Saccharomyces cerevisiae S288C: one gene and its partners. The protein of the gene in region 2 interacts with the protein of the main gene of each other region in a biochemical or structural test. Each region holds a gene or a part of one and is shown on either strand. Other genes may lie near its edges.

What was found.
Region 1: of the proteins of MGA2 (region 2) and RSP5, one has a biochemical effect on the other in vitro, tested with the Saccharomyces cerevisiae proteins (5 studies listed by BioGRID, with this or other methods).
Region 3: the proteins of MGA2 (region 2) and NPL4 form a complex in vitro, tested with the Saccharomyces cerevisiae proteins (one study listed by BioGRID).

The regions. Positions count from the first base shown.
Region 1 is NC_001137.3:408,635-413,118, reverse strand, and holds RSP5 (NEDD4 family E3 ubiquitin-protein ligase), read right to left. Parts: upstream 2,931-4,484; coding exon 501-2,930; downstream 1-500. Other genes in the region: DSE1 (Dse1p), read left to right, coding at 4,056-4,484. UniProt on the Saccharomyces cerevisiae protein: E3 ubiquitin-protein ligase which accepts ubiquitin from an E2 ubiquitin-conjugating enzyme in the form of a thioester and then directly transfers the ubiquitin to targeted substrates.
Region 2 is NC_001141.2:414,417-420,074, reverse strand, and holds MGA2 (Mga2p), read right to left. Parts: upstream 3,952-5,658; coding exon 610-3,951; downstream 1-609. Other genes in the region: LYS1 (saccharopine dehydrogenase (NAD+, L-lysine-forming)), read left to right, coding at 1-460; DAL3 (ureidoglycolate hydrolase), read left to right, coding at 4,458-5,045; malate synthase DAL7, read left to right, coding at 5,396-5,658.
Region 3 is NC_001134.8:575,844-579,823, forward strand, and holds NPL4 (nuclear protein localization protein 4), read right to left. Parts: upstream 2,244-3,980; coding exon 501-2,243; downstream 1-500. Other genes in the region: adenyl-nucleotide exchange factor SSE2, read right to left, coding at 1-153; Sec63 complex subunit SEC66, read left to right, coding at 2,521-3,141; SMY2 (Smy2p), read right to left, coding at 3,307-3,980. UniProt on the Saccharomyces cerevisiae protein: Substrate-recruiting cofactor of the CDC48-NPL4-UFD1 segregase. Assists CDC48 in the dislocation of misfolded, polyubiquitinated ERAD substrates that are subsequently delivered to the proteasome for degradation.

The sequences.
Region 1 (4,484 bases), on a different chromosome or scaffold from region 2:
CGTTTCAAGTATGTACCTCACGAGAGCAATTTCAACTGTAGTATAATACCCAGGTCACTATTCAGTTTTAAAATGCAAGAAAATTAAAAAACAAAAAACGTATGGTTGTAAAAAGCAGGGCACATTATATGTATATAAATAAAAAAAAAAATTAATAAAATCTAAAAAGAGGATATAAAAAATAAGAGGCGTAAGGCAATATAAATTATTGGTATCATGCTCCTTTTGAAAAGGAAAACCTCCTCTTATGGCGAACTTGAAAAGAACTTTGCGTAATCATCAAAAAAAGCACTTCACGTTTTCCTGCATTTTCTTTGCTGCTTTCCATGTTGCTGTAAAAACAACAATGATTAATCATTTCATGAGCAACTCAGATAAAATTAACAAAAAAGAGTTTTCTCTTTACTATTGTTAGCTGAAATATAAAACAAGATGATTGAGGCAGAAAGAATGTTGGGAAAACGGACACCATAAATAAAAAAAAAATTGGTGCGGAATAATCATTCTTGACCAAACCCTATGGTTTCTTCCACGGCCAATGTTAGCTTCTGTTTCATGCTGTCATAATCAACGTATTGTGGCAAATCAACTCTGTTAAAACATGTGTGAGATTTTGGCAATTGTTGTACTTCACCAGCTTTTTCAATAGTGAATCTTCTTGGACCATCAGAGCCTTGCAAATCTTTAAACCCGTTGACAGGTATACGAGAAGTACCAGTGGTGAACTGCAATAAACGGGCTCTTTGTTCATTATCCCATTCACTGACACACTTCCAAAACCATTGAATGACCTCGTCTGACTCTTGGTAACCACGATAATCAGTGTGTTTCTTCCAATCTTCAATGTCAATTTCCGCAATACCACCGATCAATAGTTCTAGTTCACGCTCATCAAACACAGTTACTAAGTCTTCGGGGATTAATTCGTTAAAACCATCCATGAATGCCTTAAATTGTTCTTGAACTCTATCAACAATTCTCCATTGGGTATATAATTCGACATATTCTTTCTTATTACCATCAGTAACTTCAATATTTCTCCCATCTGGCTTCAAATCCACTGTTACAACTTCACCGAATCTTTCATCGTCGGCACTGAACGTCAGATCCAAGACACCATCTATACTATTCTCAAGCATCCAGTTTAATGAGTTATACACCTCTGCGTCAACACCTTCCATATCTTGCAATACGACTTTTTTACGTAGCATCATTTTGTAAAGTGCACCTACAAAGAATGCATCCAAAAATCTTCTATGGAAAACACCAAGACCCACAACTCTACCAATGAATTTGAAATAGTTCAAATGTTCGGGGTTGATGCCACTGTTAGGATTTATTTGAATGGTATAGTTGTCATACGCAGAATATTCAAACAAACAATAAAATGGATTAAACATCTCATGTGATAATAAAAAGAAAAATTCTCTGGAAACACCACCGTAATCTAAACCTTCCTCACCATCAAACTTGATCATTAATCTTTTCTTTAAATCTTCTGGGGTTTGTCTCATAATTTCTTGATAAGCATCCTCAAAAATGTTCTTTCTACGTACTTTAATATGACATTGTCCCGGCAATATTCTAAGAGCGGGCTGGGACCTGAAATAAATAACCTTACGTCTGAAGTCACGCTTGTATTGTGGAACATTTTGGTCTAGCGATGATGGAAGTCTTGGGTCATCCCAGGTCGTTGTTTTTGTATTGTGGTCAACGAAATATACACGTGCCGTATTGGTCAATCTCATTTCCCATCCAGAAGGCAAAGGACCTAATTGGGAGACCGGTTGTTGCTGAATGGTGGTATTTGTAGGGCCATAAGTACGTATATACTGTTGTCTCCTTGGATCCACCCAAGTGGTTGTTCTAGTATTATGGTCAACGAAATAAGCTCTTCCTTCTGGAGTAAATCGCTGCTCCCAGCCTGAAGGTAATTCGCCTAAACCAGATGTGGTACCACCTGTAGCTGCAAACGCTGCTGCTGCTGCACCATTAACAGGAGGTATATTGGAACCACCTCCCACTTGAACTGTTACAGAGGAATTATCTGATGATCCACCAGGTAAAGTTCTTCCCCTATGCTGCCTTCTCTCTAACTCAGTATTTGCATTTAATTGGTTGCCACGTTCGGCTTCTGTTTGATCGAGCGTTGGACGTTTCCAAGTGGTAGTCCTTGTGTTATGATCGACGTAATATGTACGACCAAAGTTATCGGTCCTTCTCTCCCAACCAGGGGGTAAACGACCATACTGGTCTTCAAACGAAGAGTATTGTCTGGTAGCACTGGATGTGGAATTGGTGGAACGGTGACTGGTTGTTGCCGTATTAGTAGCAGCTGTTGTACCGCTTTGAAGAGTTGATTCTACTGCTTGCGCGGTGCCTCTGGAAGGATGAGACGTTGAATGATTACGGGTGGAGGAAGTAGAATGACCATTTGTTCGAGTAGTTGAACTTGTATTCGTACTAGAAGATGCAGTATGGCCAGAAGGAGCTTGTGAATGCGGACTTGACGAAGGTAGTTTTGATAAAACAACAATCAACCTACCGCTGACGGCCATTCCGTCATTAGATTTTTTTAAATCACGAGTAATAGTTTCTTCGCGAGGTCTACCACTCGATGTAGCAGTATCTTCATCCAAATGGCCCAAAACATCACCCACGCGGACGTTAACCACGCCAAGAAACCCTTGATCCTTCTTTTTAAATTTCTTTTGATCAAAGACTTGGATGGTTAAAATAGAATTTTCATTGATATCGTCGAATTTGAAAGTCTCATTCCAGTAGGGATTTAACGTTTTCTTCGCTGCGGATGTAGATTTGGTTTGGTAACCATCAATAGTCAGAACAGCAAACGGATCCGGGGAACGGAATACGTCCCTCTTATATAATGACTCTGCAGCCACTAACTTGACGGATATGGATGAAGGCATTTTTTTTCTTTTTTCTTTCCTTTCTGTTACTTTAAATATAATACCCAAGCTAACAAAGAAAAGGGAATAAGAAAAGGGGAAAATAGTTTTTGGTAAATTTATCGAACTAAAAACGCACTAAGAAAAAGCTGTGGCTTATGAAAGTGAAAGTCGAATAACACTATATTCGGTAGTTCCAACTAAAAGGTACTTACACACAAAAACAAGCAATTATTTCCTGCTGTTTTATTTGCTACGCACTCACTCTTCTAAAGAAGGACTGAACTGAAATTTTGACTCACTTGCAAAATGTGCTTCACGAATTATAGTAACAAGTCCAAAACTGTGGAAAAAACTGACAGCGCTTATTATCTTATAATCGTTTTTGTTTAACGAAAAAGTCGACTCTTGTAGCTCTAACGAAGAAAATGGAAAACAGCCTCAAAACACAACAAAGTCCTTTTATCAATTAGCAGATGCGATACTCGAGTACCCTAAAAATGGTTAAGCGTATGTCTTTTAATTGTCGAGATAGAAGCCCCCTCCCCCGCCAGCAAAAAATATTACCTTTCACCATGAAGATCACTGCAATTTGGTCTTTACCAAAAATTTCCACTAAATTTTTGTTTTTTCCCCTTTCTCGTATAATGTCATTATGTACGTAAGATCACATGATCGTATACTGTCACGTGACTGTGCGGCTGGTCTGCGCCAGCAATTTTTTTTTTCTGCTCTCAAATGTAAACAAACCAGCAGTCTGTTTTCTAAACAAATAAACATTAAAAGGTAAACAATACCAAATAATAATAGCAGCGTCAAAGCTACATTCTCAGTTCTCAAAGCTATTGTGTTGATTTCTATGTATGATTCAATGCCGGCATGATGTTAAATTTGCTGGTTTACTGAATAAGGCTTGGTTCATAACCAATTTGTAGTCATGACGACATAGCTGGGTGGGTGCTTACTGGTTTACATAAATAAGTGCGTAAACGTTTTACAATATATAAAAAGGTAGAAATATCTCTCCCAAGCTTTCCTCAAACTATCTTTTGGCTTCTTCTTCTTGCATGACTTCCAAATTTTAATCTGTGTTTGCTAAAAAATTTGATTGTAGGTGTGATAGTGAGAGTGACACGTATTAATATTATGCAAGATACCAAATACTACGAACCAACAAATATTTTTCGTCAGCCTGCTATTAATATAAAGAAGAGATCAGATAAAAAGAGGATTTTACAATCGATGATGACTTTATCCACATACAAAAAAACGTGGCAAAACAATACTTCGAAAATGAATTCACCGATTTTGCGAAAAGCATCAGACAACTTCAATGACTATTATACAACTAAAAAATTAAAATCAGATTATTGGAAACTGTACGGTGTTGATGAAAGTGAGTTATCCATACCTTCAGACATGTCCATTGTGGATAATATACTTCTAGTATCTACAATGAACGAGAAAGACAACTTGAAACTTTTTGAAATTTCCGCTGAGAAAAAGCTGAAGGAACTACAGACGATTACTGTTCCCGGTAAACCCATTACTTGTATCTGCTTATTGCCCATGGTA
Region 2 (5,658 bases):
TAACATATTAAAATGGGATATCAAAGAAACTTCCCGTGGTGGTCCCTTTGACGAAATTCCACAAGCTGATATTTTTATCAATTGTATATATCTATCGAAGCCAATTGCTCCTTTCACTAACATGGAGAAACTGAATAATCCTAACAGAAGACTAAGGACCGTGGTGGACGTATCAGCAGACACTACCAACCCTCACAACCCCATCCCAATATACACTGTGGCTACTGTGTTTAACAAACCTACCGTTCTGGTACCTACCACTGCCGGGCCTAAATTATCTGTCATCTCTATTGATCACTTGCCTTCTTTGCTGCCAAGAGAAGCTTCAGAATTTTTCTCTCATGATCTCTTACCATCTTTAGAGCTCCTACCTCAAAGAAAAACTGCTCCTGTCTGGGTTAGAGCCAAGAAATTGTTCGATAGACATTGCGCTCGTGTTAAAAGATCTTCAAGATTGTAGTTTACATTTAAAGTATATACATTATCGTTACGCTGACATTTACAAGTTTAATTTTTTTTTGACTTTTTTTAAATGACTTTCTCTTCTTTTAAGTGTACTGTCTTTTCATTATACACACATATATATATATATATACGTAAAAAAGCAGACTAACTGACAATTAAATCGTTCAACATTCTTGTTGTTTGCAGGTTTGATAATTTTGACCTGAATGCAGTTTTCATCCTTTCATTTCCCAGCAAGAACTTTGCTAATGCAATTCTCAAGTACTCTGAGATTAATTCGCTTATATGATTGATGGAACTATCTTGGTTGCCAAATTTGTACATGATGAACCATGTCAAAAGTAGTAGTGTTAAGGGTATCCAGAAAAATATTAACATTTTATCATTTCGGAAGTTTTGTTTGTTTTGGAAGAATCTGTTAAACTGTTTTTTCAAAAATTCTTCCTCTTCCTCATAATCCTCTTCCTCCGAATTTTCAGAGTTTTCAATATTAGATGCTGACTGCTCCACAATACTGTCTTGATTTGTGGTTTTCAATTTATCATCTTTACCCCAAGACAACGGGAACAGATCCTCATATTTTGGTAAGTCATCATTAATTCGATGTAAAACTCTATTCCAGAGAGATGTACTACCATTATCCTCTTCGGGTTCGTTGGCGCTAGATCCAATATCAAGGAGTTCGCTTTGTTCCTCCCTGCATGCAACACCTGGTTTTTCTACTTCGTCAGTGACGAACAGATCTTCATCCCCGTCTTCTTCGAAATCACTTTGGTCGTACTCAGAGTAACTTGAATTCTCAAATAGTTGCAAGGTTGGATGCTGAATCTCCATAGAAGTGGGATTTATCATGCTTTGGCTTTCGAATAAGTTCTCATTCAAAGATTCATTGTCTAGCAGGCTTGAATTGAAACTGGATTGTGAATATTTCCTGCTAATAGAATAATTACTGTCTGTTTCTACACTATCGGTAAACTTCGTACCGTTTTGGAATTCTTCAAACAATGACAATACTTCGCTGATATAAGTGTCATTATGAACAAACTTATGGTTGTCTCTGTTATCTTGTTTTTTGTCTATTTCCTTTGAATGAATGTGGTTTGCTATGAATACTTCTCTTGCAGTTAATCCGTTGTGTGACCTCAGTGAATAATTTACTTTACAATTTAAAAGCATCTTAATAATTTTAGGGTCACCACTTATGCAAGCAAAATGTAATGGAGTTAGCCCAAAGGAATCAATATCGTTAACACGAGCACCCTTTTTAATCAATGTATACACAAGGCTTGAGTAATTTTTCAAACAGGCAAGATGTAATAAAGTTCTCCCTAATGAATCACATATGGAAATATTGGAATTTATGTTCAATGATTTTATAACTTTTTGTATCAAGACTTCATCGGAGTAAAGAACACTTGTGTTCAGATTCATACTGTGTTGGTTTGGAGAGGGACCTGTGCTTTTTGAACAGCTGTTGCCATTTGTACCGCTATCAGGAGAATCATTGCCAACAATCCTCTTCGCGATATTTCTTGCATCTTCTAACTTACCATTCATTTTTAATCCCACAATTTGCAAAGCCAATTCAATCAGTTGCCTATCAGTATCATCAACATAGGTAAATATGGCCTTTTTATTGTCATTGATCTCAATTTCTTGGGGAAGGTCATCGTTATTATTTTCATTATTCGTATCAGTAATAGAGACGAAAACTTGACCCGCGTAGGCAGCGGGAGGGAGATAAGTGACGATCGTGGTCTCACTCCAGCATTGCGTAGAAAGGGCAAGATTAGAGCCGAACTTTACAGAAAGACCATCTTTGAAGTTACAACCCAGTAATGTAACTTCGATACCACCATTGATTGGGCCTTGTGAAGGTATAACGCGATTAATTGATGGCAAATTATTGTTGTTGTTTTTCATTGAGAAATCTTGCATTGAATGTAAAGCTGGATTCATCGTATTTGTTGCACTGATTGAATTTGAAAAGGAATGCTTGAATAGGGGTTTACCAATGTCATTTTCCAAATTATTGCGTGCTCTTTTCCGTTGGTTCAATTGACTCTGTTGTTCAATATTTGTCAAAGAGATAGTACGGACGGGATTGTCATTATCGCGATGATGATAGTTAAATGATTCTGAGCCTTCTTCGCTCATAGATGTTGGTGATGGAATATGCTGATTGGGCAGAGAAAGGTTCAGTGATAAGTTATTGTTCTGAAGCAAATCTGTCTGTTGAGAGATGGAATATGGGAATGGTACGTTTTTGTCTTTCAGTGGAATATTATTCATTTGACTGTCATTATCATATGGGTTGTGTTGATAAGTATATTGAAATGGCATATTTTCGTCTTTGCTCAATTGGTTGTTATCCGTTGAATAATATTCTGTGGTAGATTCTTCTTCCGTTAGCTGCCTTCTGGACGAGGTAGTAGTGTTATTAAACTTGGTGGTATCCATATTTGCTGGTTTTCTATCCGTGATCATAATAGGTGTTGTCGTAAACTTACCCAACAGTCTATTTTGCCAATCTGTTATAGTGAATAATATGACAAAGCCATTATTTGCCTTATGGTGCCTGCAATAACAAACTAGCCTGGTAGTTAATTCAAACTCCTTAACATTATCGAAAGTTTTCATTATGGGGAAAACCTGTTTGTTATTGAACACGACTAACCTTCTATTAATATTATTACACCAGAGTAAATTGTCTGCAATACCTGATTTCCTTCTAGCGGCTCTTCTTTGTTCTCGCTTAACACACTTGGTACAAACATTTGTCGTTCTGTTGCTGACCGCACATAGAACAAACGCATTGATGTACAGAAGATTTTTCTTGAAGTCTTCTGAAAAATCCTCGATATTTTTTTTTAAATAAAACTTTTCTCTTGAAATGGAATCGCTAGGCAAGTAAAGCATGCTTTGGTTTAGTGGTGTTTCAGACGTAATTTTCACTTTCAGTTTCAGTTGATTTTCCACTCTAGATACTTGTGGCAAACCTGAGACCTCTACATCCAAAGGTAGCTGCGCTGCGTTCACTTTAAGGTAATCTAAAGGATTTATGTAAACAGATTGAATCGTCTCCTTTCTTCCAAATACAATCTCGTCATGAGCAGGGTTGCCTATATTTTTTTCATTAAAAACCTTATTTTCATGCTCGTCCTCTTCTTCCTCCTTCAAGGCTCTGTTACTTTCCATTTCCTCCTCCAGTGGAGTGGACACGTTTTGGTTGACATGAGTATTGTTACCGATACCTTCGAAAGACAACAGGTTGGGCGAATCACCCTCATCTGTCTTGATAAAATTTTGGAAATTAGCACCCTCATCAATATTAATATGCGCCATGCTATCATCCTGGTACATGGGAGACCCGTTCAGGAGGAAATCGTCCAAGAGCTGTGATTCCATTACGCTATTCGCGTGCAATTGAGATATATGAGGGTCGCTTCCAGGTGTTTCCGTTAAGAACTCACTGTTCTGCTGCATAACGAAATGTTCTGTTCGCCAAAATGACCTTCAATAAGTGCCTTTAAATGCACAATAAGGGGGGGAAGCAGGATCTAGTCTTAACGACCCCAAGAACGACTGTTGATCAAGCGCCGCTGTCCTTTTAAAAGGCTTTCGGCGGCTGTATTTTCTGGTTTAGAGCTCACCCATTTGAAAATGTTGAGTTTTTTGTCATGATCCACGATATAAAAAGAAATACGACATTTCTAGGGTAACATCAGAATGCCCTTGCTTTTATTGTTAGGGTTATTTTCAAAAGTAGAATTTTGGAAATAAGTCCTAGCCTTTTTGTAACACTAACCCTGAGACAAAGTGCCAGATAAGATAAGATGGATTGGCAAATAAATGGGGAAAGATAAGCGAGGTAAGACTGATAAGAAGCATATGCGGTCTATTCATGTGCATTCGCATATATAAGTCAGTAACTGTCATCCAATCGCTCTTGATGCTTATCTTGTAGGGCAAAAAATCTTTGAAGCAAAGATATGGTGACCGTGGTGGCGGAGACATTGACGAAAGAGTCCTTCGAGGAGTATGGGACGATAATTTCGCCAGATGAAGAGATTTCAAGGATGCAAAACCTTGAAAAAGGTGCAAACCAGGGAACAGCGATCAAATTGCTTCAAGTAAGCCAGGTAGAGAATAAATCTACCAGTAAAGTTCCCAATTGGAACCTATTCCGTTGCTTTCCACAGCCGCACCTGAATAGAGTATTCACTCAAGGCTCCAATCAGGCGATTTCTCATTCTATCAAAGTCCTCGAAAAGCATCCGTGTAGTACGCAGACGTTTGTGCCTATGGGGAGAACGTCAGCGGAAGTAGCATACTTGGTAGTAGTCGCTAAAGAAATTGGAAATAAGCCAGACTTGTCTACGTTGAGGGCTTTTACATGTTTGGGTAATCAGGCCGTTACCTATGGCTTAGGTACCTGGCATGCGCCCATGATAGTACTTGGCAAGGAAGAACATTTGGATTTTTCAGTCTTAATCTACGAAAGTCTGGACCCTGACAGGCCCGAGAAGGACTGTGTGGAAGAACACTACAGCGATGGCGACGTTTGTATTATCATCTAATTCTGCGACTGTGGGCGAAGTAAATATGTAAATGTTCATGTATTAGTAATTTCATAGGTTTACGATTATCGACATAAAATCTCCGCTGAAAGTTGCGGTGCGATAGAATACCGCGGATTTTGGAAAATTGCGTTTGCTTTTCTTATCACATAAATTGAATTTCATAAGTTTTGGCTTATCTTGGATAAGGTACATCGTGAAAGTATCACAAAGATTGGATAGTTTCGTCAATTGGTGAAGCAATAAGTATAAAATGGGGACATTTACGCATGTAGTCTTAATTCTTCACTTTCTGTGCAGTTGATATCACTTAGAGTATGTGTCATAGGCACGGTAAAGAGCACTGAACAATGGTGAAGATAAGCTTGGACAACACTGCTCTATACGCAGACATCGACACGACTCCTCAATTTGAACCTTCCAAAACTACTGTAGCTGATATTTTAACAAAAGATGCCTTAGAGTTCATTGTTTTGCTGCATAGAACTTTCAATTCAACACGGAAACAGCTTTTAGCCAACAGAAGCAATTTACAATCAAAGTTAGACTCTGGTGAATACCGATTTGATTTCTTGCCGGAAACCGAACAAATCAGGAACGATCCTACATGGCA
Region 3 (3,980 bases), on a different chromosome or scaffold from region 2:
TTCACCTAAGTACCTATTTCTGGGGCCAAAGCCGACCAAGGATGGTGTAGACCTATTAGAAACTTCATTGACAACGACATCAATACCCCTATTTCTGGCAACTGCTAGTACTGAGTTATTGTTACCTAAATCTAAGCCAAATGGAGTGCTCATTATATTATATCCTTTGGTTACGTCTGTTACAGGTAAAAAAAAAAAAAAAAGGAAGTTTTAAGGGATATTTCCAAAATCTATATACAAGATTTCATAAATAAAAATCTCTAAACGGCAAAGTCCTTTGGTTTATATCAAGAGTACCTTAATATATACCAATTTGTAAAAGCGACTCCCAGTTATTGTTCCTTAAAACTCCTCGTATGATGTGATTTTTGGTAAGGGGACGTTCTAGAAACGTCTACTATTTTGGATGATTTACATAGTTTTAAAATAAAAAAGGCTCAATTTTACCTTCCGCGCATTTCTATTTTTTTAATCTAAAACCTCAAATCTTACAGTCTCTCCTAGCCGCTTTCCTGAAGGATCATGACTAACGTTTGCCAACCAGCCGATGAGACAAGTTTTAGTAGAGATTCTTCCCATTCATTTTTCACAGCAGATTCTATTAGTAACTTCCATTCGTCTGGAGAGAGTATCTGCAGAGAATTTATGTATAATAGTAAATGAAAGTTCGAGATTTTTTCATGCAAAAGATTGAAATCTCCACTTGAAGCCACATTGAATAAATACTTTTTTAATTCTTGATAATCTTGAGATTGCCCCATAGCTTGTCGATTGCTCCATGGAAATCCGGTGGAACTAACGAATTTCGAGTTGGTTTCCGTATCGGTATTCGGGAACCCATGAGTCAGCGTCACTAAAAGATAGTCTACCGGAAATGCAGGCTTCGCATTTTCCTTCACTGTTATACCATATTCATTCGACTTCATGTAAAATATCTCAGGTACATATCTTTCATCTGTAGTGTCATTAATATATGCCATTGAAGGAAATGTGGACCCACTTATCATATCTGCAGTAACCAATGCTTCAGCTTCTGTGGATACTTGGTAGCTCGAAATATCAATTTCACCTTCCAAATTACCTGATATAACGCAAGTTACAAACTTGGAAGAAAAAAAACCTTGTTCGCTATACTTGCTTACATTAGGATGCCTTGTTTGATGCCTAGCAGCCATAATAACTTCTAATGATGAAAGAAAAAACGAATCCTTATGTCTTTTGCAAAAAACAGACCCATCCCCAGCTCCCGCGTCAGATAAATCTGTAAATATTAGGCCAATTCGCGAAAGCCCCATTTCTTGAGCCTGTCTATCAATCTGTAGCATTTCATTCTTGACCTGTTCTACGTCCATGGTTAAACCGTCTTGCTCATCATGCTGAGGGGGCTCGTATATCGCCTCAACGACGGCCTTTATACCTAAAGGTGTGTTATCATACTTAGAATAAGATCCGTACATATAGCCAAATCTTTGCATACCCGTGTACCTCCACGCCTGAATAAATTCATTAATTATTTCACTCTTCTGAAATTCAACGTGGTCAACCATTCTAAATTCTTGCTGTTGTAATGTAATTGCCGATGGTTGACATTTAGAACATATCCCCCGAGGCCATGGTTCATGGCCATTATGGCAACGCTTATTGATTCTAAAATCAGGTTCTGAAAGAGGGGAAATATAAGAGCTGCCGTTCTCCTTCTTATTAGCATTTTCATTTAGCTTTTTAAGATATGAATGAAACGATATATGTTTGATCTTATTCTTCTCATGATATTCTTTGTCCCAAGGAGGTAAAGGCGAGCAGTATTCACACATACCTCTATCACCGTGCTTGCATAGTTTTGATTTTTGACGAGGAATTAATCCGTCCTCTTTCTCTAGTTCCTCATCTACAGCGAGTTCTTTGATCCTTAGTGGACCGTACCTGTGTTGACGAATTCCCTTGCTGTCAATACCTACGGATCCGATTTCAACATTGACACCATCTTTCTCATTAGCGGGCTTGTCCGAATAGTTAAGGATCAGCATGTCACCGTGCTTTAGTCCTAGATCCATCACTGTTCGATCAGCTAGTTCAGAAACAGCATGAATACCTTGACCGGGCTTCTCACAAACAGTAAATGTGTCGACATCGGCATTGGGGTCCAGATTACCCACCAACTTTTCAATGACCGTTCCGAAAAGGTCGTTTTCTTGACAAGAAACCCTGTGTGTACCGTTTTTTGATCTAAATCTGATAAGCATACTTCACTTAAATGTATATCGATATCAGTAGTATAGGGAAATTTTTCTTCAGAGTACTGTCCTATTATTTGCCACTCTTCGTTCTGTATGTTACGAGGGCGTTCCTTAAAATGGGTAGACGCATCTTATTACCCGCCAAAAAACGTCAAAAGTTTTAGGAACACGTCTAAAAGTTGAAATAATATGTGAAAAAATTGATGAAATATTAATGAAATGGCTTATTTAAACGAATTCAAGTACAGGAAAGAGGTACGCACAACTACTTGAGTTTGCCAATATGTCCGAATTTAATGAAACAAAATTCTCCAACAACGGGACGTTTTTTGAAACGGAAGAGCCAATTGTGGAGACGAAATCAATCTCCGTTTATACCCCACTCATATATGTCTTTATTCTGGTGGTGTCCCTTGTGATGTTTGCTTCAAGCTACAGAAAGAAGCAGGCCAAAAAAATTAGTGAGCAACCATCCATATTTGACGAAAACGATGCCCATGATCTGTATTTCCAAATAAAGGAAATGAGTGAAAATGAAAAAATTCACGAGAAGGTGTTGAAGGCCGCTTTATTGAACAGAGGAGCAGAATCTGTTAGACGATCATTAAAGTTAAAAGAGTTGGCTCCTCAGATAAACCTTCTATATAAAAATGGCTCTATTGGGGAGGATTACTGGAAGAGATTTGAAACTGAAGTTAAATTAATTGAATTGGAATTTAAAGATACTTTACAAGAAGCTGAAAGATTGCAACCGGGCTGGGTTCAATTGTTCGTTATGGTTTGTAAAGAAATTTGCTTTAATCAAGCTCTCTCTAGACGTTATCAATCAATCTTGAAACGGAAAGAAGTGTGTATTAAAGAGTGGGAGCTGAAAATAAATAATGATGGAAGATTAGTCAATTAGTGCCTACTGTGTGCAAAGATATGTATTCGCTCGTTCAGTGTTTTTTTAAAAATATGTATAGAATTTGTCATTATCTGCGTTAAAAAATAGTTATAAAGTATATACAATAACAATAAATGATAAAGAAATATGCAGTGAAAAGAAAAAATTATGAAGCTTTTCCTTTCAGTGTTTTCTACCCTTCTTCTTGCTCACTACTTGGAATTCCCAGCCGTCGTCATCATTGCCTGATAGAGCTAGCGCTTCATTCCAACTTAGTGGATCATCACCTTGTTTTTCGCACGCAACACGTCTTTTAATAAATTCAGTGGCAAATCTTCTACCATCCATAACGTCACTATTGGCATAAATTGTTTCTTGAATCAATTCTTTAGATTCTGGCCCCGTAGGTAAACTCAATAATAGTTCTAAGACATTGTTATTGGTTATTCCAGAATTTAATTTCATCTGTGATTTACACCATTTGATAAATTCTTGCCGGGGAGAAACATTGTTCATGCTAGCAAAGGTAGTGGTAGTAGAAGTTGTGCTAGTTTTTGCCGTTAATGAAGAATTTAAACTGGTATTGGTTTTTGAATATGGGGAGACAACGGTTCCTATAGGTGCTTTCCCTTTAGAAGTCACCGTAGTCCAAGAAGATGTGGTAGTAGATGCAGAGGATGTGGACTTTACTTGTTTGGAAGAACTCTGAACCTTTTCCCATAGTTTTTTCTGCTCTTCTATGAAATTTGGATCTTCCAACTCCTTTAACGGAGACGACTCTTTCATCCCTTTTGGGCTTTTTTGAAACTGAGATTTAATATCAATAGTTTGATTCGATGGTAGGCTGGACTTGTTAG